Anolis sagrei: one gene and its partner. The protein of the gene in region 2 interacts with the protein of the main gene of each other region in a pairwise test. Links are inferred from orthologs where the notes say so. Each region holds a gene or a part of one and is shown on either strand. Other genes may lie near its edges. The genes, in order: TRIM55 and USP13.

Region 1 (15,763 bases), on a different chromosome or scaffold from region 2:
GGGTTTACCTGAGGTGTCATTTTCATGCCTCAGGTAAACCTGGGACAGATCCCACATTCAAGGATCCTCTTGTAATATACTCAATATACTGAAACCATATCCCAAGTATATTACACAGGATTTCTGTTTGTGGCATAGTTCCCTTTCCCAAGGGATTATATTTTAAGCAGGATATCTCAGAAGCTATTTGGAAGAGGGCCAAAAAAGCTTACTAGAGAGAAGAGCTGTTTTTTTGGAACAATGCCTATTCTCTGAAATGCTGAACTGTCTCCATTTGGCTATAACATGGCTTCAACTAAACCAACTAGCTTCTACGACACCTCATAAAATTCACAGGCCTTTCCTGAGCTACAAACCCAATAGATGTTTCTAACTTCAAACTATCTATAAAGCCCTCTCCTCATGAATATCTTCCTAGCTCTCACCCAGCTTTGTGCTTTCAAAGGTCATCGCTTGTTAGGGAAATCAGTTTATTATTGATTCTAAGGCCCCTTCTACACTACCGTATAACTCAAATTATCAAAGCATTTAATCCACATTATCTGCTTTAAACTAGATTATATAAATCTACAGTACCATATAATCCAGTTCAAAGCAGATGATCTGGATTTTATATGGCAGCGTAGAAGGGGCCTAACAAGCGCCCCAGTGAAGGTTCTTGGATGTCAACGGTTATAAGTACAATGTTCCAATATTTTGTGTTCATTCATTTAATTGATACAAATATTATAATTCAGCATCCTGAACAGAAGAAGAGCCCCTATATGATCTCTAATATAGAACATAAGAAGACCACCAAAAGGAGAGAACATTCTCTTTAGAGATGTTTTGTTTTTTTAAAAAATCCTTTAACCTTGGCATGAATTAATCTACCATAGCATTTGGCCAATCATTCACATTCATTTCATTGTTTAATAACTCAATTCATTTCTTAATTCTAAAGTTAGTGCTGAAATTCCAACATTTCAACCCTTTAGTTGAAAAATAAACTAAGGTGATCCTTTCCCTTAGAAAACTTCCAGCTCAGTTGATAATTTAATTGAATGTAAATAGTTGACATCTTTGTGCAAGCATACAAATATGGTTTAATGAAAGGTACAACTTGAGCGTGGTGATGGCGGGAGCAATGAAAACGTGCCTTTTCTAGGACACTCTTTGTCTTGGGGCCAGTCCTGCTCTCTTCATCCCAGCTGCCGCCTTTTGTTTCCCCAACTGCCTCATTTCCCTTCTTTATGCTACTGCAGATGTTATTCTAAAGCTTCACAGAGAGAGGCATCTATGAATTCATCATCTAAGAAGCCCATGGAGACAGCCCCATCCTCAGAGACTGCATATTAACAGCAATTATGGGGGGGGGGGGGAGAGAGAGATAAGACAGGAAGAAGGAAGTGAGCAGCTGGAACCTAGAAGGTGTCAAATGGCATAGATAAGGTTGTGCAGTTCAAGTGCCAATTCTCCTGATAATTAGTTTAGCTTAAGGGACACAAATGAAGGTTAAAATAATCCTTCGACAAATCCTCCTCCCTTTCCCTATCTCAGAACCTTTACTAAATCTAGGAAGGACTGTCTAACTATTTTTGTTCTCCTTTCAATTGCAAGGCCTTTTATTCCCTCAAGGGAAAATACAGTCACATTCCATTTGATTTTTAACAAATCACGAAAACTGTTATAGTAGCTTCAGATATTTCCATGTCAGGGTGAAGCTCAGCTCACATGGATTTCTTCCTTATTTTGTAGCAATATGGAGGTATGTAAAATGTATCTTCACCCCTGGTGACCAGAATACCCTCATGAAAGCTGGAAAGTTAAATAGCCTCTGTGTATCTATCTATATATGTTGTGTGTCTATAGCATTGAATGTTTGCCATGTATATGTACATTGTAATCCGCCCTGAGTCCCCTGTGGGGTGAGAAGGGCAGAATATAAATACTGTAAATAAATAATAAACAAATATTTGTTTAAGTGAAAAAGTATGTATCTCTTAAGAGGAATAAGGAAGGGGCCATTCGTGTTTCCAGTGGCACGGAGTTCCACAGCCTAGGAACAGCTACTGAGAAAACTTCCCTTTGTGTTCAACTACCTCATCATTCCTGATATATCATTGCAACCCTGAAATTGTGAGGAAATGTATAAAATTTTATATTTCAAACTAATTTAAATCGCAGAACCATTACAACTGCAACAATACACTGGAGACGTTTCTGCTGCCATGATGCTAAGCACATTTACTTAGAAAGAAGTACCATTTTATTGTAGAATAGAGAAAAATATGTAAAAAGTAATCCAATAATGAAATGACCTATGGCAGCCATGTATATGTATGGATGTTTGTTCCCAATTAAAAAAAAATATAAAAACAACAGAAACAACTAAAATGCTGCAGTAATCAGTATCAGCACTGATAGGCTGAGTGTACCCAATACAGCCCAGATTTGGATGCCAAGATTCTTTGCTCATGTTCCCATCACCTCCTGCTTGCTCTCTGATTTATCATTCAGGTTTGGTGCTAAGTTTTGGGGCTCTGGGCCTTGTCCCACAAAGTTCAGCCTACCTAAACACCAAGCAGAAGGACTAATCTGTGCCTGAAATCCAGAACTAATAACTTCCAACTTTTCACAGATCAATACCGTGACACATGGCCAAGCAACATCCAAGATTGGTCAAGATAGCAAAAGTTATTGAAGAGAAAGGCCAGCAAGGCTAGGAAAGAAGAGCCTCTCCTAGGTCTAAAATGGTCCGGGGGTTGGAGGGGAGATAACATGTCAAAAGTGCCTCCCATTATTCCTAGAAGAAGTAGTTTTTATCTCAAGGGGCCTGGGTCACACAAAAATAGCCTGGCAGCCAAATGCATCTTGGGGGTTACATTTTCCCACTTCTGGCTATGAACAAGGATTATTTGTGTACTCAACTACATAGATGTATGGCTGCTTCCAGTCGTCTTCCCAAGGGAAACAGAGGTACACCCTCCTTGGTGTCCTTCAGCCAGTAGGCAAAGTCATTTGGGCAGGCTTTTAGCAAATGACTGATTGCCTAGAAGCAGGCTTTTAATGGAAGGGGACCGTATTTTTATTGCGGTTCTTTTAATTGCTTTAAATCCTATTACTTTTTAATATTGCAATGTGTTTGATTGCATTTTTATACTTTTTTGAATTTTTATTTGTATCTTTGAATCTTGTTGTATTTGAACTTCCAGAGATAGATGAGTTACAAATAAAAACAAACCCAAAATATTCATCAGATGTGAAGATTAAATACTGAGGTAAAGCTGAATATTGTTTGATGACAATTAATTCCACAAAGCACACAAAGCTGACATTCTATAGTAAATATCTGTAATAAATATAGAACCTTGTGCAACAGCTACAAATGGATGATAAAACTTCTCATTAAAAAAAGGTAAAGCCAACCAGTTTTACTTCTTGTAAAACAAAGCGTAACTAATATCAGAAGTTCAACAATCAAGAATTATGCATGCGGCGTTCTGTGTGGTCCCTATCTACTTGTACATAATGAAGCCTGTTGATGATGATAACTATAGCCTTTTCCTTTTATATCTAGGTTAGTGTTTCTCAACCTGGGAGAGGAGGTGTCAGAAGGGTCACCAAAGACCATTGGAAAACGCAAATTTCTAATGGTCTTAGGAACCCCTTTGGCTGGGAAGGTTGAAGATCTCACTGCCTGTTTTTCTCTTCCTTTTTGGAAACAAATGGCTGTAGTGGCCGGTCTCTCAGCTAAGGGAAGTGCTGTTCCTGAGACTCCAAGCAGGGTGGGGAGAGCAGACATGCTTGGTACATGGCAGCGTAGTGCAGATGCATGGGCAAGAGAGAGCATGCAAGGGTGGAGGAAGGCTCGCACCAGCAAGTCCCTTCAAGGCAGGTGGGAAGCACCTGTGTGACGTGGGACTGAGAATGGCCCAGCAGCATCAGAGGAGCAGCAGAAACAGCTTCGGTAATTTGTAACGCTATTTAATAGGGAAAAAATCAGTCTTTTGTTTTTTATTAATGCTCCCATTAGAAAATGCATAATTGTTTGTGTCCGCAGTGCTCTATGGATGTAGATGACCTATAACTCCACAACCCAAAGTCAATGCGCACCAAACCTTTCCAGTATTTTCTGTTGGTCATGGGAGTTCTGGTGCCAAGTTTGGTTCAATTCCCTTGTTGTTGGAGTTCAGAATGCTTTTTGATTGCTCTTTGATTTCTGGTGAACTATACATCCCAGCAACTACAACTCCCAAATGACAAAATCAGTCATTTTTGTCAGTATTCAAATCTGGATGTATCAGCTATTTGTGCCAAATTTCTTCCAGTGAATGAAAATACATCCTGCATATCAGATATTTACATTACGATTCATAACAATAGCAAAATTACAGTTATGAAGTAGCAACGAAATTAATTTTATGGTTGGGGGTCACCATAAAATGAGAAACTGTATTAAGGGGTCACAGCATTAGGAAGGTTGAGAACCACTGATCTAGCTGTAGTTATACACTTTCATGCGACAGAGGAAAAAGGGGAGGGAGGAGGAAGAAGAGGGAGAGGAAAGTTGGGATGGGGAAAGAGGCACTGGGTTGCTATGAGTTTCTGGGCTGTATGGCCATGTGACTCTGGACATGAAAACCTTCGACAACAAAAAGAGGCAGTTCAGCAGTAGTTCAGTTCTACAATTCACGTTATTTGAATACCCTATAATTCTCTTTTTGAGGCCTTAAACTATCGTAATTTGTTTCCATGGGAAATGCAACCAATGTAGGAACTGCATCCACAGACATTCCTTCAAGGACAGAAATTGATCTATTACCTGGCAGATTCCTGCTTGTATATATCAATTATGTTTTCCACCAGCAGATTCCTCTGAAGGCCATAGACGCCATGTCTGTCTAGAACAACTTCGTGCCTGCATGACGGACAGCGGAATCGACCTCCTGAAGCCACAGTGGTGCCTCCTCTCATTGGCAGATACGGGTTTGAGGCCTGTTCTTGCCAAGGAGTAAAAAAGATTGTGGAGTCAAGCATGCATTCATTCACAGATATTTCCTGCAACTGCTTTCACTTCCATATTGTAAGATGCATGTCAGACTATCTGCTTAAGAAATGATCACATGCCTTTGTGTTACTCATTGCACTTTAATCACTGTTGGATAAGGCAGAGCTGTCAAAACATTTCATTTTGGTGACACACTTTTTAGACATGAATCATTTCGCGACACAGTAATTCAGTTTTACTGGACAAAGTTTTTAGTAAGGATTTATTAATGACATGTTTTATTGCTGCGGTTATGATTTTATGTATATTAATGTTTTTTAAATTGTACTTATGCTTTGTGGCACTGAGTTTTGTCATGTAAACCGCCTCAAGTCGCTTGAGGGCTGAGAGGAGCACAGTAAATAAATAAATAAATAAATAAATAAATAAATAAATAAATGAACCAGAAGTTAAACCAATCCCTTATAAGAGATTAAAACATACATCAATTGTAATAGTGAAATGCATGGTGACATGTCATCCCATGGAAACCTTTTATTTATATGTCTTCGATATATATTGTTACATTCATGCAAAACATCTACATATTGCAGTTTGGAAAGTCCTGGAATAAGATAATCAAAGATAAACTTACCTTAACCACCAAGGCATAGTCCAAAATGCTATCCAGTAAGTACAAAGGGTACATTGTTTCCATTTTGTTTATGGAAGGTTCGCACCAGCAAGTCCCTTTTGTTTAAGGATTCCAAGTTCATAAGGTAACAACTGGGTTGTTGTGAGTTTTCCAGGTAGTATGGACCTCACAACCTCTGCGGATGCTTGCCATAGATGCAGGCAAAACGTCAGGAGAGAATGCTTCTGGAACATGGCCATACAGCCTGGAAAACTCACAACATCCCAGTGATTCTGGCCATGAAAGCCTTCGACAATACAAAGTAACAACTTCTTGTAGAGATAAACTTTCCATTCTTAGAAGTATTGGGGAAGGACAGGAATGAGTTTATATTTTAATATCTCTACGTACATTAAATAATTATAATTCATTCTAGATCAATAGGGTGGGGAGCATTTCCACATGCAAAGGATCCAGAATCATACAGCAAATAACAAACAAGTGTCTTTTTTCTAATTCATTTTTTTTCTCATCTAGAGAAAACCCTTTTTATTAAACCACCACATCTGATTTTATAATCTGAAAGGTTAAATAATTCCAAAAGGTCAACTTACCTGGAAGATATCGCTGGCACATTTTCGACATAGGTTGTGCTGACAGGGGAGGATCACCACTGGCTTAGAAAACATCTCTAAACATATGGGACAAATAAGCTGTTTCTCTAAGTTATCCATAGTTTCTTGCTCTTTGGAGAAAGACTTGTAATTAAGAGAGGTGCTCATCTCCTAGAGAGTCTGAGGAACATAGGCTCAGAATCAGAATGCGGCCAATGGGTTTCCGGGTTAGGTCCCCTGAAAAAATTCCAATGCTTGTGAGATCAAATGTCCTTTGAGACTCTTTCCCTGGATGACATTGTTTTAATGGGTGGAAGGGAAAGCAGGGAGCTGGGCCTATTTTAGAAGCAGAGCGTCATTGGCTGCCATACTCACTCTCTCCATATATGCATCTGTCACAAGGACAGATTTAGACAGGTGACAGCTCACTGGGGTGAAAGAGCAACATTCTTGTGTCCAAGAGGAATGGGGGGGGGGAGCATAGGGGAGGAGGTGGAGAAATTCAACAGTTGCCGCTGACACATGCACCACTCACTCTTTTGGAAAAGTTGAAATATCATGTTGACCATAGAATACAGCCTGGTTGTTAATATCTTTACATCTCATTGTGGTAAGAAAAAGCAAGGAGCAATTCAATAAGCATACCCTAAATACTCATATATATGTCTAGAAATTTTAGTCAAAAAGTCAGCTCCAAAAATGGTGTCATCTTATCCATGGGTCAATGTAAGTACTGTATATTAATTTTTCAAAAAACTACCACCTACTTCTCTGAATAGAATGGTAAAAGTTAAGAGCTTGGTCCATCCCAGGAAAACCTTAAAGAAGCACTGACCTCTTCTACCCTCTACACTATGGTGCTGCTTCTGGACTTTTTGATTGCCTGCACGGGGAAAATGGTAGTGGCAGTCAAAGGCCCTTTAAGTCAGTCCTAGTGTTTTCTTTTCTCCATGGAATTATTCTCAACTTATCTACATGGGGGGTATCAAAATCCACAATTCTTGCCCTGAAAAATTATGCAGGAGGTTGGCTTATACTCGAATAGATATACGATAGAGTCTTGCTTATTCAACCTTCGCTCATCCTATGTGCTGTATTATTCAAAGCAGTCTGTCTCCACAGCTGTTTCAAAACATTGCAATGTTTTGGTGCTAAATTTGTAAATACAGTAATTACTACATAATGTTACCATGTATTGAACTGCTTTTTCTGTTGATGTTTTGGTGCTTAATTTGTAAAATCATAACATAATTTGATGTTTAATAGGCTTTTCTTTAATCCCTCCTTATTACCCAATATTTTTGCTTATCCAACATTCTGCCAGCCCATTAATGTTGGATAAGTGAGACTCTACTGTAGTACTACTACTTTCTAAAACTAAAGTGGGTCCAAAAGGCAATTTTCTGGTCCTGGAACCCACTCAAATAATGATGGATTGCCAAAGAACAAACCAAAAACACGCAGAAGTAACCAGACATTTGATTATGGCTTTGGGGGATCCCCACCCCCTCCCCCTGCAAAAAAACCCTGTTGAGATGTGTAAGAAAGGCCTTCAACTATTTAATATATGAACTTCTGAAGGCTTCTAGAAGAATAATCTCCCCCCCCCCCCTTTCATGTTTTTTAATCCAGGATGTCTGAAGAGGAAAAGGGCCATAGATGTGGTGCCAGGGGTTATTCAATATGACCTTGACAGATTGGAGATCTGGAGCAAAGCTAATAAAGTGAATCTCAGAAGGGTACTATATCTAGGAAGGAAAAATGTGTAAGATTAATGGGAGAAAAAAACAACACTTGTGAAAATGATCAAACAATTTTAGCAGATTATAACAAACATTATTCAATAGTATAATGCAGTGACTAAAACAAGCAAACAAACAATGGACTGTAGGCTGCATCAAAAGGAATGTAGCGATCAGATCAAGGGAAATAGTGGAGAAATACTTTTTCCAGTTCTGAATAACAGTTCAATAAGGACAAGCTGGAATATGTCCAGAGGAAAACTGCCAATATGGTAAAAGGTCTGCAAATCAAGTGCAATGAGAAATAATTTTGAGATCTAGGTATGTTGAGCCTGGAGCAGAGAAACTTAAGAGGTAATATGATAACCATCTTCAAATATATGGAAGGATGCCATGCAAAAGATGGAATGAACTTTCTTGTTGCTTTTCTAGAGCCTCAGATATGAACTATGGAGTTCAATTACAAGAGAAGATTAGAGATTCCACCTCAATATTAGGATGAACTTGTGTACTGTTCAATGGTAGAATAGATTGGCTTGAAGGATGGTGAACTCTCCTTTTCTGTGGTTTCTAAACATAGTTTGAATGGCTCTCTCTCAGGAATCCTTTAATTGGAATACTTTGTGGTTTCTATATGATTCTGTGTGCTTCCAGGGTTGGACTTTGCCTCTTATTAACCAATTAATTGCATATTTCTAATGTCCAGAACCTACTTTTCTCAAATGGTATATAAGGCTTCAAAAAGTCTCTATCTCTTTTGTAGAAAGAAGTAAGATGTGGAAACAAGTTCCACAATTAGTTGTGTGAACCAGTCTTAGTAGTGGCAGATGGTGTGGCAGATGGAAAGATGCTCCCTTTGTAGAATAGCACTGAGGCAGGAAGCCCCCTATGCTCTCACCAGTGCGCAGTGTGGTAAAATAGCATAAAAGGATGTGGCTCAGTTGGCTTTGTACTCACACATGGCTGACCAGCGGTGTCTATTGCTAGATAATGGTAAGCCAGAGGCCCCATCCTCCTCTTCTGCCTCAAAAAGCCAATTGGCAAATGTTTGCTTCTTTCTTCTCTTGATCTTCTTCCTGTCATGCTGTCACACCTGTAGATAGTGTTGCCATAGAGAAATCATACTTAGCTCTTCAATAATATTCTTCATAAATAAGCTTTCTCTGTAGTTTTTTAAAGGAACAGTTCCAATACACTTAAAAAGAAAAAAAAACCTTTCAGTGTTTTCTAAGTTCAAGTACTTTGGAAAAATAGCGAAGATGCACCATTTTTATTGGCTGAGCAGAGGTGATAATTCTGCCTGGGTTATACGCCCATAGTATAATCCCAATGATTAAGTTCCAGCACTGGGACACTGCTTTGTTTCTGTTTATTGGATGCATGGATCCCTCATAACTTGGCACTTGTTGCAAAGTTATTTTTAAAATGACAATTTCCCAGATCACGTCTGGCATGTGAGGCCTAATCTTAAAGCAAGCCATCTGTGCTGTTACTTGCCAATACTTTATCAGACAACTGTACAAGCAGTATGTATCATGTCTATGAGTTTAAGTGCAACATCTACTTTACTTACTGTAGCAGGCGGTTGTATTCGCATTCATCCTGTACATACCACTTGCACATTGGGTCCATTTTATTTGCTAATAAAATAGCTAGGATAGCTAGCTAGCTAGAGAGAGAGAGAGAGAGAGAGAGTAAGAATATACCTCTCTCTGCTTAGAGACAGCATGGTGAAAAGGCCTGTTCATTATACTAATAGAATTTGTTATTATCTGGCTATCAAGATACAAGGAAAGTTTAAATTTCAGCTCTAAACACAAGGAAGGAGTAACCTTCAAGGGGCAATCTATACTTACAACAAAGTCTATGGGTAATCTATACTTAAAACAAAGTCTGGGCCCAACCAAAGAGCACAGGCTTTATAACTAGTCTTAAAGCTACTTCAAGATCTCTTTTGCACACTGATCCAGACTACATTGCTTTGTCTTTGAATACTATGTGTACATACAATATATGCAAATACAAGTATTCCAAATCAGGAAAAATCCAAAATCCAAAACACTTCTGGTCGCAACCATTTTGGGTAAGGGATACAGCCGCTCTTATGAATTGTGGAAGTTGAAGTCCCATACACCTGGAGGGCAGAAGTTTGCTCATGCCTGGCTGTAGAATATGGACACATCCTCATCAACTCTGGCCTACAAGAAGCACTGCTTGACTATCAAGCAAAAAGTGAGTGCTAGAAACAATATTGTATGAAAGCTGAATAGCACAATCTGGGGAATCACAACCAAACACAGTGAAGACATCTGCCCTTGTGCTTTGCTACTCCGCTGCTGAGTACACATACCCAGCGTAGAACACATCTCACCATGCTAAAACAGTAGATATGGCTCTTAATAAGACATACCACATTATCACAGGATGTCTATGCCCCACACCATGATCAAGGGTCTGGAGAACAAGCCCTATGAGGAGTGGCTTAAAGAGTTGGGTATGTTTAGCCTGAAGAAGAAAAGGATGAGAGGAGACATGATAGCCATGTATAAATATGTGAGAGGAAGTCATAAGCTGTGATGAATGGTGGGAGTTAGACTCCAAACCACCTGCAGGGCCCAAGTTTGCCCATGCACTACTGCATAGTGGAAGTTCTTCCAAATGTTCAGGTGCTGTTTGATTCCATTGCTCTGGTTTGTCCTAGTGTCCAGAGCAGCAGAAAACAAGCTTGTCCCTTCCTCAAGAGGAGACATGCTAGCCATGTATAAATACGTGAGAGGAAGTCATAGAGAAGAGGGAGCAAACTTGTTTTCTGCTGCATTGGACACTAGAACGCGGAACAATGGCTTCAAACTACAAGAGAGGAGATTCCACCTGAACATGAGGAAGAACTTTCTGACTGTGAGAGCCCTTCAGCAGTGGAACTCTCTGCCAAGGAGTGTGGTGAAGGCTTCTTCTTTGGAATCTTTTAAATAGAAGCTGGATGGCCATCTGTTGGGAGTGCTTTGAATTTGATTTTCTTGCTTCTTGGCAGGGGGTTGGACTGGATGGCCCATGATGTCTCTTCCAACTGTATGATTCTACATTATAACTGTACCCTCAATTTGCTTCTGACTCTATAAATAAATAGTCTATTCTTTATTGTAGGGAAGGAACTGCAACCTCCAAACATGGATCTCTTGAGTAACTTTTTATATTGAATCACAGAGTTAAACTACTAAAGTCACAGTAATTTACAAAGCACAAGAGGGAAGCTATTTTCAATCAGAAACTGAAAGTGCAAGTTTGAAAAAAAAATCTCCTTCGAGCCGGAATCGAACCAGCGACCTAAGGATTCCTACAAGGGAAGTTCTCCTCTACAGTCCTCCGCTCTACCAGCTGAGCTATCGAAGGCACACGGCGGAGCTGCTCCCCTTGAGAGATCTAAGCCTCCGGAAGAGACAGGCACTGCCTCTATTGCCCCATGCTATATAGGTGCCTGAACAAAGGTGATAGTTTGGGTATCTGCCTCTCTTGCCAGGTTTGTTTTCATCCTTATATACACGGTGACAAAATCATAGTTTGGGTTTTGGAATTTTAAATATATATATTGGGTTTTCTTGGAGTATTTTCAAGCTTGGGGTTTGCTGACTCTCATGGTTGCCAAACCCATGGACACAGGGGCTGGCTGCACTGTGTGTATTCCTCTTCCAATTTTTTTTGGCAAAGGGTTAAGGCAAGCGAGGGGCCAGTGGCGCAATGGATAACGCGTCTGACTACGGATCAGAAGATTGTAGGTTCGACTCCTGCCTGGCTCGTTTCTTTTACTAACACTTTGAAATCCAAACATTCCAGTACATTCACTGATTCTTCTTGTTCCTTTGCATGTGGAAGAGAGCTGAAGATTTTTTCAAGTATCATTAGAATCAAAGAGTTGGAAGAGACCTCGTGGGCCATCCAGTCCAACCCCAGCCTAGAAGCAGGAAAATTGCATTCAAACCACCCTTGACAGATAGAATCATAGAATCAAAGAGTTGGAAGAGACCTCATGGGCCATCCAGTCCAACCCCCTGCCTAGAAGCAGGAATATTGCATTCAAAGCACCCCTGACAGATGGTCATCCAGCCTCTGTTTTAAAACTTCCAAAGAAGGAGCCTCCACCACACTTCGAGGCAGAGAGTTCCACTTCTGAATGGGCTCTCACAGTCGGGAAGTTCTTCCTAATGTTCAGATGGAATCTCCTTTCTTATAGTTTGAAGCCATTGCTCCGCATCCTAGTCTCCAGGGCAGCAGAAAACAAGCTTGCTCCCTCCTCCCTATGACTTTCTCACATATTTATACATCATGTCTCCTCTCAGCCTTCTCTTCTTCAGGCTAAACATGCCCAGCTCCTTAAGCCGCTTGTCATAGGGCTTGTTCTCCAGACCCTTTATTATTTTAGTCGCCCTCCTCTGGACACATTCCAGCTTGTCAATATCTCTCTTGAATTGTGGTGCCCAAAATTGGACACAGTATTCCAGGTGTGGTCTAACCAAAGCGGAATAGAGGAGTAGCATGACTTCCCTGGATCTAGACACTATGCTCCTATTGATGCAGGCCAAAATCCCATTGGCTTTTTTTGCCGCCACATCACATTGTTGGCTCATGTTTAACTTGTTGTCCACGAGGACCCCAAGATCTTTTCCACATGTACTGCTCTCGAACCACGTGTCCCCCATCCTGTATCTTTGAATTTCATTTTTTTCTGCCTAAGTGGAGTATCTTGCATTTGTCACTGTTGAATTTCACTTTGTTAGTTTAGCTTGGGTTATTTGAAAAAGTCATGTTTTTTTTTAAATTTCCCAAAATGCATAAGGTTGTGGGTGAACTACAACTCACACCATGCCAGGTTAGCCCCCTGAAACTCCATTAGTAGTTAAAGTTTGTCATGTTGAGCAAGTTTGCTCTAGATCAGTGCTTCTCAACCTGTGGGTCCCCAGGTGTTCTTTTTTTGTGTGCCTAAAACTCCCAGAAATCCCAGCCAGTTTACCAGCTGTTGGGATTTCTGGGAGCTGAAGGTCAAAACATCTGGGGACCCACAGATTGAAAACCACTGCTTTAGATGCATCATTGGTGGGGTTTAGTGTGATCTCTGGCTGCAGGATAAACTACAGCTTCCACTATGGTGAGCTAGTCCCCTCAAATCCCTCCAATAGGTTCAGTTAGTCATAGGCATTCTGTAATGCCAAGTTTGGTCCAGATCCATCATCGGTGATGGTCACAGTGTCTCTGGATGTAAGTGAAGTACAACTTCCAGAAATGAAGGCCAGTTTTCCCCAACCCCTAGTATTTTTAGTTGGTCATGGTGGCTCTGTTTGCCAAGTTAGATCTAGGGCCATCGTTCGTGAGGCCCCAAATGCTCTTTGATTGCAAGTGAACTATAAATCCCAGTACCTACAACAGTTATAAAGCAAGGTGAATTTTCCCTCAAACTTCTCCAGTATTTTTCTTTGGTGATGGGGGTTCTATGTGCTAAATGTGGTCCAGCTCCATTGTCAGTGGGGGTCACAGTGCTCTGACTTGATGCAGGGTGAACTACAACTTCCATCACGTGGAGCCAATCCCTCAAATTCCTCCAGTATGTTTACTTACTGATTAGTGCAGAAAGCGTTGAAAAGAGTAGGAGGTTGGTGCTCATCTCCATTTCTAAGCTGAAGAGCCGGCATTGTCCGTAGACACCTCCAAGGTCATGTAGCTGGCATGACTGCATGGAGCGCCATTAGCTTCCCGCCGGAGTGGTACCTATTGCGGAAGTAATTTCGGAACCATTGACAGAAGTCATTTCGGAACCATTGGCAACCATCTTTGAGTGTTCTTGGAGAACAGGAGAAGTTCCAGCAGATTGGAGGAGGGCCAATGTGGTCCCAATCTTCAAGAAGGGAAAAAAGGATGACCCAAATAATTACCGTCCGGTCAGCCTCATGTTGATACCAGGCAAGATTCTGGAAAAGACTGTTAAGGAAGTGGTCTGCAAACACTTAGAAACAAATGCGGTCATTGCTAATAGTCAACATGGATTTATCAAAAACAAGTCATGCCAGACTAATCTGATCTCTTTTTTCAATAGAGCTACAAGCTGGGTAGATGCGGGGAATGCCGTGGATGTGGCGTACCTGGATTTCAGTAAGGCCTTCGACAAGGTCCCCCATGACCTTCTGGCAAGGAAACTAGTCCAATGTGGGCTAGGCAAAACTACGGTGAGGTGGATCTGTAATTGGTTAAATGCACGAACCCAGAGGGTGCTCACCAATGCTTCCTCTTCATCCTGGAAAGAAGTGACGAGCGGAGTGCCGCAGGGTTCTGTCCTGGGCCCGGGCCTGTTCAACATCTTTATTAATGACTTAGATGAAGGGCTAGAAGGCATGATCATCAAGTTTGCAGATGACACCAAATTGGGAGGGATAGCCAATACTCCAGAGGACAGGAGCAGGATTCAAAACGATCTTGACAGATTAGAGAGATGGGCCAAAACTAACAAAATGAAGTTCAACAGGGACAAATGCAAGATACTCCACTTTGGCAGAAAAAATGAAATGCAAAGATACAGAATGGGGGATGCCTGGCTCGAGAGCAGTACGTGTGAAAAAGATCTTGGAGTCCTTGTGGACAACAAGTTAAACATGAGCCAACAATGTGATGTGGCGGCAAAAAAAGCCAAAGGGATTTTGGCCTGCATCAATAGGAGCATAGTGTCTAGATCTAGGGAAGTAATGCTACCCCTCTATTCTGTTTTGGTTAGACCACATCTGGAATATTGTGTCCACTTCTGGGCACCACAATTCAAGAGAGATATTGACAAGCTGGAATGTGTCCAGAGGAGAGCGACTAAAATGATAAAGGGTCTGGAGAACAAGCCCTATGAGGAGCAGCTTAAGGAGCTGGGCATGTTTAGCCTGAAGAAGAGATGGCTGAGAGGGGATATGATAGCCATGTATAAATATGTGAGAGGAAGCCACAGAGAGGAGGGAGCAAGCTTGTTTTCTGCTTCCTTGGAGACTAGGACGCGGAACAATGGCTTCAAACTACAAGAGAGGAGATTCCATCTGAACATTAGGAAGAACTTCTTGACTGTGAGAGCCGTTCAGCAGTGGAACTCTCTGCCCTGGAGTGTGGTGGGGGCTCCTTCTTTGGAAGCTTTTAAACAGAGGCTGGATGGCCATCTGTCAGGGGTGATTTGAATGCAATATTCCTGCTTCTTGGCAGGGGGTTGGACTGGATGGCCCATGAGGTCTCATCCACCACTATGATTCTATGATTCTAAACATTACATTTTTATTTATATAAATATATATATCCTGAGAAACCCTACAGAAAAAAATTGTGTATGTCCTGACAAACCCTCCCGGGGTCAACGAAATTTGATAAAAGCCTTTATGCAGTAGTAATCTGAGGATTTTATAAAACCAAGTCTTGCTGCGAGCCAGGCAGGAGTCGAACCTACAATCTTCTGATCCGTAGTCAGACGCGTTATCCATTGCGCCACTGGCCCCGCACACGAGAGCAGGGCTGAGGACCACCTCCAAATATATAAGAGAAGCCTTGCCATGCACAGCTTCTCCCCTTTGCTTCCTTATGGGCGACTTCCACCCACTTTGTCACACCTCTCCATGTTTGTTTCCTCCATACACTGAGCGGGACTAAGGCAGGAAGAGGGTCTCTTTCCGTTATCAGCGCCCTTCCCATTTCAAAGTTTCACTCCTCCAGTTCAAAGGAGCCGCATTGGAAAGACTGAGAGCAGAAGCAACAACTCTTGCATGCAATGTGATCTCCAGCGCCACCTCCTGGTTTA
Region 2 (15,480 bases):
ATTTACAGCATTTATATTCCGCCCTTGTCACCTCACAGGGGACTCTGGGTGGATCACAATGCACATATACATGGTGAATATTCAATGCCATAGACACACAACATATATAGACAGAGACACAGAGGCTATTTAACATTCCAGCATCATGAGGGTATGCTTTTTGAATTCCAGGCACCAGGGGAGCTGTCGCTTCACCATCCACTTGTGACACCCCTCATTCTTTGCACACTGTTCAGAGCGTCGTAAATTGGTTAAATTAGCCTCCCCGCATAAGTGGTATCTAAATTTCCTACTTGACAGATGCAACTGTCTTTTGGGCTGCAAAGGTCGACAGCAAGCTAGACAAATGGCTGGAAGCTCACTCCGATCTGGGCTGGTTTCAAACTCATGACCTCTCGGTCAGTAGTAATTTTAATACGGCTGACTCCCAATCAGCTGCGCCACAACCCGGTCACAACTTAGTTTCCATTGCAAATATTTCTATACCAAGCTTGACTTCAGGGTGTCTGGAAGCCAATTGTCTGTCCCTTGAAACTGCCAGAAAAAATGAAACTGGACAAGAGTTCAGATCTGGTTTTGAAAAAATGCTATTTTTGATGGCCTGTTTAAAAAATCAACTGCCTTTTCAGAAGACACAATTCACCCTTTACCCCAGAAAAGGGGTATTTTAGAGGAATCCAGCAATGGCTAGAAGCTACAAATACAACTGTTGGAGAAGTGCATGTTTTCCTGGAGCATCACTTTGCCTGCTGCTTCTTTATGCAATCACATGTGTCGATACCCAACTATTTGATAGTCTGGATCTTTTAATCAAAAGCTATTGCCATATTTTATTGATTCTATTCCTCTTGCTAATTTTATATGTCTGGTTTTAAATGTGTTAATGCGGATATATTGTATTTTATATGTTGTATGGCACCATTGTGAGCTATTTGTAAGCCGCCCTGAGTTTCTACGGGAGATGGTGGAGGGATATAAAAGTTTTGTGTTAATGTCAACCATTAAACAACAGGCAATCCTCAAGTTACAAACAAGATAGATTCTGTAGGTTTGTTCTTAAGTTGAATTTTTATGTAAGTTGGAACAGTTACATTTTTAAAAGTGCAACACCAGCCATATAAATATATATGCATGCATGCTTTGGATAGTATAGGAAAGGGTTATAACACCTCTGTAGTGTTTGTTTTGCTGTCTGTGCCCCTGTTCAGAAGATTTCCCCTCACTTTCTGTCACTGTGAGAATTGGATTTTGAAAAATTTGGCTTGTTGTGGAAGCAAGGATTGGAGATACAGCTTCAGAGGAGACATGTTTCCCCCCTGATAACTCTTTCAGAAGTGAATTTCCCTTCTGAGAGGTAGATTTCTTTCGCTTCCTGTTGTCTCACCCTTGTTCTTAAATACAAGTTGTATGTAACTCGTAGTCTTCCTGTATATACTAGCCTTTTCCCGTGTGCTTCATTGTGTGAGATCATGTGGAAAACTTAGACATTGTCAACTAGCTTTTGTTAGATAAGCTTACGTTAAATAGCATATGAGCTGTAATGTCTGCCTGTCAGATCTATCTCAACTGTTCCCCTGTTTATATTTGATACCCCCCCCCCCCAGTGGCACAGTGGGTTAAACCACTGAGCTGCTGAGCTTGCTGACCAAAAGGTTGGTGGTTTGAATCCAGGGAGCGGGGTAAGCTCCTGCTGTTAGCCCCAGCTCCTGCCAACCTAGCAGTTCAAAAACATGCAAATGTGAGTAGATCAATAGGTACCTCCTCAGCAGGAAGGTAACGGTGCTCCATTTTTTTTGTGGTGTCAGGAATGACTTGAGAAACTGCAAGTCGCTTCTGGTGTGAGAGAATTGGCTGTCTGCAAGGACGTTGCCCAGGGGACACCCGGATGTTTTTGATGTTTTCTCATCCTTGTGGGAGGCTTCTCTCATGTCCCCTCAGGAGGAGCTGGAGCTGACAGAGGGAGCACATCCGTGCTCTCCCCGGATTCGAACCTGTGATCTGTCAGTCTTCAGTCCTGCCGGCACAAGGGTTTAACCCACTGCGCCACCGGAGGCTCCACACGGCGCTCCATGCAGTCATGCCATCCACATGACCTTGGAGGCGTCTATAGACAACGCCGGCTCTACAACTTAGAAATGGAGATGAGCACCACCTCCCCAGAGTCGGACATGACTATACTTAACGTCAAGGGGAAACCTTTACCTTTACTTTACCTTATATTTGATAGGACTTTGGTTTGAGTAATAGACAACATAATCCAATTTGGTTTTGGCAACTATATTAGTCTGTTGTTTAAAGGATGGCTAATTACTTGAGTGCTTGACCAATTGTTCTTATACTATTTTTAATTGTCTGGCTTGTATATCACGTTTTAATGAAGATTTTTATTTTTAGCCTGTTTTGGGTGGAAGGCCCACATGCAAATTAAGGGCTACCTAAATTTGCAACTAATATGTAGTCTTCCTTTCCATTTTCTCATTTTCACTTTCTTGTTCTTTAACAGGAAGAAACAAAAGGAAGCCCGCCGCCTCATGCGAGAAAGAGGCGATGGACCATGGTTTCACTATGAAACCACTGGCACAAGCCTGATTGACTATTCTCCTAAATCAACGCCCGATAACTAAGATTGTTCATCTCTTGATCCAAGTGTGAATCCGCAGACAGCGTCTGAATTAATGTAATATAGATATATATAATTTCAATAAATATTTCTGATTCAGAAACCTGCTGTAATGTTTCAAATACAACGCAGTCTTGACCATGCATATTCAAAACGTATGATGTATGAAATGGGTGGCTGAGATACTGATGCATTTACTTTGTGATAGTTGCTGCAAGTACATAACTTTGTTTCATGCACAGCACGTTTAAAACAGTAGCTTAAAGTACCATCATCTTCTGCAGAAAAAACATCAACAAATTTCATGTTAAGACTTTTACTCCATCTCCAAATGGCGTGAAAACAATTTAGAGTGATTAATGGCCAAAACTAACAAAATGAAGTTCAACAGCGACAAATGTAAGATACTCCACTTAGGCAGAAAAAAAGGAAATGTAAAGATACAGAATGGGGGAGGATGCCTGGTTCGACAACAGGACGTATGAAAAAGATCTTGGAGTCTTTGTGGAGAGGAAGATGAACATGAGCCAACAATGTCATGTGGTGGCAAAAAAAAAAAAAACAAAACAAAGGGAGTTTGGCCTGCATAAATAGGAGTCTAGTATCTAGATTTAGGGAAGTCATGCTACCCCTCTATTCTGCCTTGGTCAGACCACACCTGGAATCACACTGTCCAATTCTGGGCACCACAATTGAAGGGAGATGTTGACAAGGTAGAATGTGTCCAGAGAAGGGCAACTAAAATGATCAAGGATCTGGAGAACAAGCCCTATGAGGAGCAGCTTAATGAGCTGGGCATGTTTAGCCTTCAGAAGAGAAGGCTGAGAGGAGACATGATGAGGGCCATGTATCAATATGTCAGGGGAAGTTATAGGGAGGAGGGAGCAAGCTTGTTTTCTGCTGCCCTGGAGACTAAGATGCAGAACAATGGCTTCAAACTACAGGAAAGGAGATTCCACTAGAACATTTGGAAGAACTTCCTGACTATGAGAGCTGTTCAGCAGTGGAACTCTCTGCCCCAGACTGAGGTGGTGGCTCCTTCTTTGGAGGCTTTTAGGCAGAGGTTGGATGACCGCCTGTCGGGGGTGCTTAATGTGATTTTCTTACTTCTTGGCAGGGGGTTGGACTGGATGGCCCATGAGGTCTCCATCCAACTCTATGATTTTATGATTCCACTATATCTGTTTATGTATATAAACAGATATGTTTATGTATATAAAGGTCTTGCTTTAGCACAGCAGGTTAATTACCAGCTGCAGTAAATCTTGCAAACTGAAAGGTTGACAGTTCGAAGCTAGGTCAGGGTGAGCTCTCAACCTTTAGCTCAGCTCCCCCGCCCACCCAATGGATCAAAAACATCAACGTGAGTAGATGAATAGGAACCGCATTAAATGGGGAGGTATTTTAGGCACTGTTTTGAAGGAAAGTTTATGAACAAAGAAAGCTCGTCGGCAAGGAGATGGAGCAACAGCACTCCTCTGTGGCCGGAACCGAGCACAGCCTCCAAAAGACGCTGAATGATGAGAAAAAGCCTAAAAATATATACCTCTATCTATTGTCTGTCTTGTCATTATATAATCAGCATTGAATGTTTGCAGTACATGTCTTCTGTGATCCACTCTGAGTCCCCTTGGGGGGGGGGGATCTGTGCCCGTATCTTGGGAGGTCTGACTTGGCCACGGTGGTCCACGCTCTTGTTACATCCCAAATAAACTACTGCAATGCGCTCTATGTGGGGTTGCCTCTGAAGACTGCTTGGAAGCTTCAGCTAGTACAATGCACGGCAGCCAGTTACTTACGGGAGCGGAGTACAGGGAGCGCACAACGCCCTTGTTACACCAGCTCCACTGGCTGCCTATTAGCTTCCGAGCACAATTCAAAGTGCTGGTTTTGACCTATAAAGACCTAAATGGCTCTGGCCCACTTTACCTGTCCAAAGGGGTCTCACCCTATGAACCATCAAGGACTTTAAGATCATCTGGGGAGGCCCTGCTCTCAGTCCTGCCACCATCGCAGTCATGTTTGGTGGGGATGAAAGACAGGGCCTTCTCCGTGGTGGCCCCTCAGCTGTGTAACTCTCCCTAAAGAGGTTAGATCTGCCCCCTCCCTCCTGACTTTTCGCAAGACATTTAAGATGTGGCTGTGGGAGCAAGCATTCGCAGAATAGATGGTTTTAATTGGCTTAGATGAGATTGTATGGACCACATTTTTTGGACTGGTTTGGAGCACGCTTTAAACTTGGCAAACCGTTTTTAAATGTATATTTATTACCATTTTATGTAATTGTGTATTTTATTGGTGTTTTTATATTGTTGGAAGCCACCCTGAGTCCCTATTCGGAGGTCGTGAATAGGACGGGATACAAATGTTCTAAATAAACAAACAAACACATACATAAATACTGTAAATAAATAAATATGCAAACTGAAATACAGATTATTTCTGGTCCAGGTAATTCAAATAAGGGATACTCAACCTACACCTGTTTTCCCCCCAAAAGTGGATGTGGAAATTATTCAAACCATTAGAGGGCAGCATTTATTCAACCTCAAAGGCCACCTATTCTTATTTAGCGATGAATAGAACTTCAGTTCAGAATGTATCAAGCTGTACAATCTAAATATGGAAGAAATAAAAAGCAATATTTGGCACATCCTCTAGAAATGGAAGAGTATTTTGTTTCAGTTCATTGTTCTGATCAGAATTTATGAGCATCTGGATGTTAGAAAAAGCAGAACTGACTTGGTACTGAGTGTCCTTTGACACTACATCCATTGCACTGCAATTCCATTTTCACGGATGCATTCTATGGAATTTTAAATTACAAATCTCAGACCTCTCCTGGAACAACTTTGTGTCCAGTTCTGGGCACCGCAATTTCAGAAGGAACAAGCCGGAACGTGTCCAGAGAAAGGCAACCAAAGTGGCAAAAGTTCTGGAAGACAAGTCCTGTGAGGAGCAGTTTAGGGAACTGGGAATGTTTAGTTTGGAGAAAAGGTTGAGAAGGGACAAGAGATCCATGTTACAATATTTGAAGGGGAAAAACTTATTTTCTGCTGCTCTTGAGACAAAGGGCCTTTCCAGACAGGCCCTGTATCCCAGGATCTGATCCCAGGATTTCTGTTTATCCCAGATTATCTGGCAGTGTGGACTCATATAATCCAGTTTAAAGCAGAAAACCTGGGATCAGATCCTGGGATATAGGGCTTGTCTGGAAGGGCCCTAGGACACAAAGCAATGGATTCAAACATCAGCAGAAGAGATGCCACCTAAACATTAGGAAGTTTGCAGATGACACCAAATTGGGAGGGATAGCCAATACTCCAGAGGACAGGAGCAGGATTCAAAACGATCTTGACAGATTAGAGAGATGGGCCAAAACTAACAAAATGAAGTTCAACAGGGACAAATGTAAGATACTCCACTTTGGCAGGAAAAACGAGATGCAAAGATACAGAATGGGGGACAACAAGTTAAACATGAGCCAACAATGTGATGTGGCGGCATCTCTCAGGGGTGATTTGAATGCAATATTCCTGCTTCTTGGCAGGGGGTTGGACTGGATGGCCCATGAGGTCTCTTCCAACTCTTCGATTCTATGATTCTATGAACTGGAGGGCTTGCTAGGGAGATGTCTACTCAAGTTTTTTAAAAACCCAAATATTCATGTTTTGTTGGTTTTTTACTTTCCTGGGGGCCCTGTTCCCCAATCTCAGCAAATATGGTGGGATCACTGTACATTTAGAAACTACAACTTCCAGCATTTCCCATTCTGAAAATGCCAGCTGAAGTCTCATGGTTCTCAAGCAGGGAGAAAAAAGCCCAGCACAAGAAGGAAGGCTGGTTCATGTAAGGTTCAGATACCAAACAGGTACCTGAGCCATCCTTCTGGCATTAACAGTAACTCCTATTCAACGTGACAGCTGCCATTTCTGATATTTTTCTCTCATTGTCCCTATTGTCTGCTTTATCACATTTTCTTCTTAGCAAAATGTCTCTTTGAGGCCTACTCTTCCCTCCTGGCATCTCACTTTCTGCTGCAAGTGAACGGCCCATAAAGGAAGGAGATGACATTGATGATGCCCATAAGTACCACATGGCCTTGCCCTTGTGCCATAGGGTTGGCTTTCCAGCATGAGATTCAGAATTTTCTAATTCAAAAGAAAAATGAAAAGGTGGACAGAACTACAATATTTCTTTTCAGTATCATATCTCAAATACCTCTCCTGCTGTGCTTTGTCGTTCTGTGAGCAAGCGTGCTTATTTATTTTGGGAGGAGTGTGATGGAGTTGTTTTAGCATTGAATGAAATCCATTGGGTGATCATGGGGAGGTCACATTCTCTCAGCCTCAAGAGGAAAAGGTAAAGCTTTCCCCTGACATTAAGTCTAGCTGTGTCCGACTCTGGGGGGTGGTGCTCATCTCCATTTCTAAGCTGGCATTGTCCGTAGACACCTCCAAGGTCATGTGGCCAACATGATTGCATGGAGCTCCATTACCTTCCAGCAGAAGTGGTACCTATTGATCTAATCACATTTATAAGTTTTCGAACTGCTTGGTTGGCAGAAACTGGGGCTAACATTGGGGTGGGGGGTGTCTTCTCCGACTGCCATTCCCAGAACCCTCCAAACTGAATCCCCTGTTGTGGGATGGGCAATCTGACAAGGCATGGTTAGCTTGTAGACTCCGATAAGCCAACAATGTGATGCAGCAGCAAAAAAGCCAATGATGATTTTGGCCTGCATCAATAGGAGTATAGTGTCTAGATGCAGGGAAGTCATGCTACCCATGCTCTATTCTGCCTTGGTCACACCACACCTGGAATCACACTGTGTCCAATTCTGGGCACCACAATTGAAGAGAGATATTGACAAGCTGGAATGTGTCCAGAGGAGGGTGACTAAAATAAAAGGGTCTGGAGAACAAGCCCTATGAGGAGCGGCTTCAAGAGCTGGGCATGTTTAACCTGCAGAAGGCTGAGAGGAGACATGATGAAGGCCATAGTTCAATATGTGAGGGGAAGTCATAGGTAGGAGGGAGCAAGCTTGTTTTCTGCTGCCCTGGAGACTAGGATATGGAACAATGGCTTCAAACTACAAGAGAGGAGATTCCACCTGAACATGAGGAAGAACTTCCTTACTGTAAGAGCTGTTCAGCAGTGGAACTCTCTGCCCTGGAGTGTGGTAGAGGCTCCTTCTTTGGAGGCTTTTAAACAGAGGCTGGATGGCCATCTGTTGGTGGTGCTTTGAATGCAATTTTCCTGCATTTTGGCAGTGGGTTGGACCAGATGGCCCATGAGGTCTCTTCCAACTCTAGGATTCTATGCTCCATATGTATATCCCTGTCTGTAAGTTCTTGTTTTGTGAGGAATTGTGAGAAATAAATAATCTTTACAGGATAGATGAGATTGTGGAACTCTCCTGGTCACAGTGAATGCTTTTGACGCAGACTATTTATTTATTTATTTACTTCATTTATATACCGCTTTTCTCAGCCCTCAGGTGACTACTGAGACCGACATTGATTTTACTTCTTTCTATAGGAATCAACGAGTGCATAATGTGAGTTTGAATCCCTGGGCCCATGAGATTGCATAGCAAAAATAAAGGGCCAGCATGCAAATAGCATCGATTTTGAATTTGCAGGGGTATCTGATGTGATCCGAGTTTGATGGCAAGCAGGGGCGGTTCAACCCATTACGCAAAGCAAGCATTCGCAGTATAGTTGATTTTGCCCAGGGGTGATCTTGAGGCGCTCTTGGGGGGAAATAGACCTTGACATATGCGAGTTGTAGTTACTGGGATGTATAGTCAGAAGCAGCCGTAGGTAATTTTCAATGGTAAGCAAACAGTATTTTGGTGCCCCCCCCCCCCAAACCAATCATTGATATATATTTTCTGCTCGTCATGGGATTTGGTTGTGCCATATTTGGTTCAATTCCATCATTGGAATTCCACCAGAATGCTCTTCAATTTGATTTTAGATTTTAGGTGAACTATACATCCCAGTAACTACAACTGCTCTTTGATTTTAGGTGAACTATACATCCCAGTAACTACAACTTGCATATGTCAAGGTCTATTTTCCCCCAAGAGTGCCTCAAGAGCGCCCCTGGGCAAAATCGACTATACTGCAAATGCTTACTTTGCGTAATGGGTTGAGCCGCCCCTGTGTAGAGTTCACCTACAATCAAAGAGCATTCTGAACTCCACCAATGATGGAACTGAACCAAATATGGCACACAGAACTCCCACGATGAACAGAAAATATATATATCAATGATTGGTTGGAGGATGGGGCGCCAAAATACTGTTCGCTTACCATTGAAAATTGCCTAGGGCCGCCTCTGATGGCAAGTTAAAAGAAAATGAAAGAAGACCCCCCCCCCCCCCCCGCCAAATTCTTTACTCCAGATACAGAGTCTTGATCTGGACTGCCCACAATGAGAATAAAGGGAGGGATCTGTAGTCAATGGATGGTGCTTTGAAGTCAAGACTGAACACAGTTTGATCTCAATACAGAACCTTACCTCTGGATGTGTGTGAACCAGTAACATTGGGAAACAAGCTTCAGGGATAAATACAATTGACCTCATTGGACCTTCAAACGAATAAATGTTAGTAGGAATATGAATATCAAGCAGGCATGGGCAAACTTAGGCCCTCCAGGTGTTTTGGACTTCAATTCTCACAATTCCTATCAGTCCATAGGCTCATGAGGTCTCTTCCAACTCTGGTTGCCCAGGAACGCACCCTTCCCCAGGAATGAGCCTGGGAGTGACTGGCGAGGCTTCCTCTGAGCATGTGCAGAGTGCCTCTCCCTTCCTCCTCCCTCGGGGGCCAGGAGGCAGGCTCCGAGGGCGTGGCTGGAGGAGCCTTGGCGCTTCTCTCTGGGCAGCTGCGGCTCCCTCCGTCTTCCGCCGGGTTAAAGATAGCCTCCCTCCCTCCTCCTCCTCCTCCTGCTTCTCGTCCGGCCAGGAGGGCTTTCTCTCTCTCTCTCTCTGTCTCTGTGGGGCGATGGAGCGGGCGGCACTGTTGGGGTCCGGGCGGGAGGCAGCGGTGGGCCCGGAGATCGCGGGGGACGTGGGCGAGCTCCTGGTGCCCTACATGCCCACCGTCCGGGTGCCCAAGACCGGGGACCGCGTCTACAAGGCCGAGTGCGCCTTCTCCTACGACTCGCCGGTGAGTCCCTTCCTCCCTTCCTTGCCTCCTTTGGGCTGTGGGTCCCTTGCCTTTTTCCAGAGACCCCCTCCCTCCCTTGACACTTGCTTCCAGGCCTTGGCGGGGCCACCCATTCCCCTTTCCAGGGGGTCGCATGGTACTTTCTCCTAGGACTGTCTCTCCTAATTGGCTTTTGAGAAGTGTTTGGGGTCTGGGAAAGATTTCTGCAGAGAGATCCCTTGCACATGGGTCTCACCACATTTAGCTTTTCTTTCCTTGGCTTTGCATGTTCTCTTTAGTGCTTTTGCTGTGAGTTTTCCGGGCTGTCTGGCCATGTTCCAGAAGCATTCTCTCCCCACGTTTCGCCCACACCAATGGCAAGCATCCTCAGAGGTTGTGAGGTCTGTTGGAAACTAGGCAAGTGGGGTTTATCTCTTGAGTGCTCTTGCTGTGAGTTCTTCGGGCTGTCTGGCCATGATCCAGAAGCATTCTCTCCCCACGTTTCGCCCACTCCAATGGCAAGCATCCTCAGAGGTTGTGAGGTCTGTTGGAAACTAGGCAAGTGGGGTTTATTTCTTTAGTGCTTTTGCTGTGAGTTTTCTGGGCTGTCTGGTCATGTTCCAGAAGCATTCTCTCCCCACGTTTTGCCCACAGCAATGGCAAGCATCCTCAGAGGTTGTGAGGTCTGTTGGAAACTAGGCAAGTGGGGTTTATCTCTTTAGTGCTTTTGCTGTGAGTTTTCTGGGCTGTCTGGCCATGTTCCAGAAGCATTCTCTCCCCACGTTTCGCCCACACCAATGGCAAGCATCCTCAGAGGTTGTGAGGTCTGTTGGAAACTAGGCAAGTGGGGTTTATCTCTTGAGTGCTTTTGCTGTGAGTTTTCTGGGCTGTGTGGCCATGTTCTAGAAGCATTCTCTCCCCACGTTTCGCCCACGCCAATGGCAAGCATCCTCAGAGGTTGTGAGTTCTGTTGGAAACTAGGCAAGTGGGGTTTATCTCTTTAGTGCTTTTGCTGTGAGTTTTCTGGGCTGTCTGGCCATGTTCCAGAAGCATTCTCTCCCCACGTTTCACCCACACCAATGGCAAGCATCCTCAGAGGTTGTGAGGTCTGTTGGAAACTAGGCAAGTGGGGTTTATCTCTTTAGTGCTTTTGCTGTGAGTTTTCCGGGCTGTCTGGCCATGTTCCAGAAGCATTCTCTCCCCACGTTTCGCCCACACGAATGGCAAGCATCCTCAGAGGTTGTGAGGTCTGTTGGAAACTAGGCAAGTGGGGTTTATCTCTTTAGTGCTTTTGCTGTGAGTTTTCTGGGCTGTGTGGCCATGTTCTAGAAGCATTCTCTTCCCACGTTTTGCCCACAGCAATGGCAAGCATCCTCAGAGGTTGTGAGGTCTGTTGGAAACTAGGCAAGTGGGGTTTATCTCTTTAGTGCTTTTGCTGTGAGTTTTCTGGGCTGTCTGGCCATGTTCCAGAAGCATTCTCTCCCCACGTTTCGCCCACACCAATGGCAAGCATCCTCAGAGGTTGTGAGGTCTGTTGGAAACTAGGCAAGTGGGGTTTATCTCTTTAGTGCTTTTGCTGTGAGTTTTCTGGGCTGTGTGGCCATGTTCTAGAAGCATTCTCTTCCCACGTTTTGCCCACAGCAATGGCAAGCATCCTCAGAGGTTGTGAGGTCTGTTGGAAACTAGGCAAGTGGGGTTTATCTCTTTAGTGCTTTTGCTGTGAGTTTTCTGGGCTGTCTGGCCATGTTCCAGAAGCATTCTCTCCCCACGTTTCGCCCACACCAATGGCAAGCATCCTCAGAGGTTGTGAGGTCTGTTGGAAACTAGGCAAGTGGGGTTTATCTCTTTAGTGCTTTTGCTGTGCGTTTTCTGGGCTGTCTGGCCATGTTCTAGAAGCATTCTCTCCCCACGTTTCGCCCACAGCAATGGCAAGCATCCTCAGAGGTTGTGAGGTCTGTTGGAAACTAGGCAAGTGGGGTTTATCTCTTTAGTGCTTTTGCTGTGAGTTTTCTGGGCTGTCTGGCCATGTTCCAGAAGCATTCTCTCCCCACGTTTCGCCCACAGCAATGGCAAGCATCCTCAGAGGTTGTGAGGTCTGTTGGAAACTAGGCAAGTGGGGTTTATCTCTTTAGTGCTTTTGCTGTGAGTTTTCTGGGCTGTCTGGCCATGTTCCAGAAGCATTCTCTCCCCACGTTTCGCCCACACCAATGGCAAGCATCCTCAGAGGTTGTGAGGTCTGTTGGAAACTAGGCAAGTGGGGTTTATCTCTTTAGTGCTTTTGCTGTGCGTTTTCTGGGCTGTCTGGCCATGTTCTAGAAGCATTCTCTCCCCACGTTTCGCCCACACGAATGGCAAGCATCCTCAGAGGTTGTGAGGTCTGTTGGAAACTAGGCAAGTGGGGTTTATCTCTTTAGTGCTTTTGCTGTGAGTTTTCTGGGCTGTGTGGCCATGTTCTAGAAGCATTCTCTTCCCACGTTTTGCCCACAGCAATGGCAAGCATCCTCAGAGGTTGTGAGGTCTGTTGGAAACTAGGCAAGTGGGGTTTATCTCTTTAGTGCTTTTGCTGTGAGTTTTCTGGGCTGTCTGGCCATGTTCCAGAAGCATTCTCTCCCCACGTTTCGCCCACACGAATGGCAAGCATCCTCAGAGGTTGTGAGGTCTGTTGGAAACTAGGCAAGTGGGGTTTATCTCTTTAGTGCTTTTGCTGTGAGTTTTCTGGGCTGTGTGGCCATGTTCTAGAAGCATTCTCTTCCCACGTTTTGCCCACAGCAATGGCAAGCATCCTCAGAGGTTGTGAGGTCTGTTGGAAACTAGGCAAGTGGGGTTTATCTCTTTAGTGCTTTTGCTGTGAGGTTTCTGGGCTGTCTGGCCATGTTCCAGAAGCATTCTCTCCCCACGTTTCGCCCACACCAATGGCAAGCATCCTCAGAGGTTGTGAGGTCTGTTGGAAACTAGGCAAGTGGGGTTTATCTCTTTAGTGCTTTTGCTGTGCGTTTTCTGGGCTGTCTGGCCATGTTCTAGAAGCATTCTCTCCCCACGTTTCGCCCACAGCAATGGCAAGCATCCTCAGAGGTTGTGAGGTCTGTTGGAAACTAGGCAAGTGGGGTTTATCTCTTTAGTGCTTTTGCTGTGAGTTTTCTGGGCTGTCTGGCCATGTTCCAGAAGCATTCTCTCCCCACGTTTCGCCCACAGCAATGGCAAGCATCCTCAGAGGTTGTGAGGTCTGTTGGAAACTAGGCAAGTGGGGTTTATCTCTTTAGTGCTTTTGCTGTGAGTTTTCTGGGCTGTCTGGCCATGTTCCAGAAGCATTCTCTCCCCACGTTTCGCCCACACCAATGGCAAGCATCCTCAGAGGTTGTGAGGTCTGTTGGAAACTAGGCAAGTGGGGTTTATCTCTTTAGTGCTTTTGCTGTGCGTTTTCTGGGCTGTCTGGCCATGTTCTAGAAGCATTCTCTCCCCACGTTTCGCCCACAGCAATGGCAAGCATCCTCAGAGGTTGTGAGGTCTGTTGGAAACTAGGCAAGTGGGGTTTATCTCTTTAGTGCTTTTGCTGTGAGTTTTCTGGGCTGTCTGGCCATGTTCCAGAAGCATTCTCTCCCCACGTTTTGCCCACAGCAATGGCAAGCATCCTCAGAGGTTGTGAGGTCTGTTGGAAACTAGGCAAGTGGGGTTTATCTCTTTAGTGCTTTTGCTGTGAGTTTTCCGGGCTGTCTGACCATGTTCCAGAAGCATTCTCTCCCCACGTTTCGCCCACACCAGTGGCAAGCATCCTCAGAGGTTGTGAGGTCTGTTGGAAACTAGGCAAGTGGGGTTTATCTCTTGGGTGCTTTTGCTGTGAGTTCTCTGGGCTGTGTGGCCATGTTCCAGAAGCATTCTCTCTCCACGTTTCGCCCACACCAATGGCAAGCATCCTCAGAGGTTGTGAGGTCTGTTGGAAACTAGGCAAGTGGGGTTTATCTCTTTAGTGCTTTTGCTGTGAGTTTTCTGGGCTGTGTGGCCATGTTCTAGAAGCATTCTCTTCCCACGTTTTGCCCACAGCAATGGCAAGCATCCTCAGAGGTTGTGAGGTCTGTTGGAAACTAGGCAAGTGGGGTTTATCTCTTTAGTGCTTTTGCTGTGAGTTTTCTGGGCTGTCTGGCCATGTTCCAGAAGCATTCTCTCCCCACGTTTCGCCCACACCAATGGCAAGCATCCTCAGAGGTTGTGAGGTCTGTTGGAAACTAGGCAAGTGGGGTTTATCTCTTTAGTGCTTTTGCTGTGCGTTTTCTGGGCTGTCTGGCCATGTTCTAGAAGCATTCTCTCCCCACGTTTCGCCCACAGCAATGGCAAGCATCCTCAGAGGTTGTGAGGTCTGTTGGAAACTAGGCAAGTGGGGTTTATCTCTTTAGTGCTTTTGCTGTGAGTTTTCTGGGCTGTCTGGCCATGTTCCAGAAGCATTCTCTCCCCACGTTTTGCCCACAGCAATGGCAAGCATCCTCAGAGGTTGTGAGGTCTGTTGGAAACTAGGCAAGTGGGGTTTATCTCTTTAGTGCTTTTGCTGTGAGTTTTCCGGGCTGTCTGACCATGTTCCAGAAGCATTCTCTCCCCACGTTTCGCCCACACCAGTGGCAAGCATCCTCAGAGGTTGTGAGGTCTGTTGGAAACTAGGCAAGTGGGGTTTATCTCTTGAGTGCTTTTGCTGTGAGTTCTCTGGGCTGTGTGGCCATGTTCCAGAAGCATTCTCTCCCCACGTTTCGCCCACACCAATGGCAAGCATCCTCAGAGGTTGTGAGGTCTGTTGGAAACTAGGCAAGCGGGGTTTATATATATCTGTGGAATAATGTCCAGGGTGAGAGAAAGAACTCATGTCTGCGTGAGGCAGGTGTGAATGTTACAATTTATTGTCGAAGGCTTTCATGGCTGGAATCACTAGGTTCTTGTGGGTTTTTTCGGGCGATATGGCCATGTTCTAGAGGCATTTTCTCCTGACGTTTCGCCTGCATCTATGGCAAGCATCCTCAGAGGTAGTGAGGTCTTCTTATTACTTTCTTTTTCTTTTTCTTTTTCTCATTACTTTCTTTTTCTTTTCTTTTCTTGAAAAGAAAGTAATGAGAAGACCTCACTACCTCTGAGGATGCTTGCCATAGATGCAGGCAAAACACCAGGAGAAAATGCCTCTAGAACATGGTCATATAGCCCGAAAAACCCCACAAGAACCTCATGTTACAATTGGCCACCTTGACTAGCATTGAATGGCCTTGCAGCTTCAAAGTCGGGCTGGTTGCAGCCTGGGGAAATCCTTTATTGGGAGGTGTTAGCTGGCCCTTCGTAGAATATCAAGCCTGCAAACTTTGTGTTTCGTTTGTTTGTTTGTTTGCTTTAATGCAATACAACTGTTTTGGTTTGCTCCTAACACGATAAATAATAAATAAATAAGCTGGCCCTGATTGATCTAGTGTCTAGATTTAGGGAAGTCATGCTCTCCCTCTATTCTGCTTTGGTTAGACCACACCTGGAATATTGTATCCAATTCTGGGCACCACAATTCAAGAGAGATATTGACAAGCTGGAATGTGTCCAGAGGAGGGCGACTAAAATGATCAAGGGTCTGCAGAACAAGCCCTATGAGGAGCGGCTTAAGGATCTGGGCATGTTTAGCCTGAAGAAGAGAAGGCTGAGAGGAGATATGATAGCCATGTATAAATATGTGAGAGGAAGCCAC

The links.
Region 1: the proteins of USP13 (region 2) and TRIM55 interact in a two-hybrid assay, tested with the Homo sapiens proteins (2 studies listed by BioGRID and IntAct). The link is inferred for Anolis sagrei from reciprocal best matches to the Homo sapiens genes USP13 and TRIM55.

Annotation. Positions count from the first base shown.
Region 1 is NC_090024.1:45,669,758-45,685,520, forward strand, and holds the start of TRIM55 (tripartite motif-containing protein 55), read right to left. Parts: upstream 6,532-15,763; 5' UTR 6,386-6,531; coding exon 6,218-6,385; intron 4,983-6,217; coding exon of another isoform or gene 4,978-4,982; coding exon 4,805-4,977; intron 1-4,804. UniProt on the Homo sapiens protein: E3 ubiquitin ligase that plays an important role in regulating cardiac development and contractility, muscle growth, metabolism, and fiber-type differentiation.
Region 2 is NC_090023.1:257,650,859-257,666,338, forward strand, and holds the start of USP13 (ubiquitin carboxyl-terminal hydrolase 13), read left to right. Parts: upstream 1-9,476; 5' UTR 9,477-9,635; coding exon 9,636-9,800; intron 9,801-15,480. Other genes in the region: NDUFB5 (NADH dehydrogenase [ubiquinone] 1 beta subcomplex subunit 5, mitochondrial), read left to right, coding at 2,504-2,624. UniProt on the Homo sapiens protein: Deubiquitinase that mediates deubiquitination of target proteins such as BECN1, MITF, SKP2 and USP10 and is involved in various processes such as autophagy, endoplasmic reticulum-associated degradation (ERAD), cell cycle progression or DNA damage response.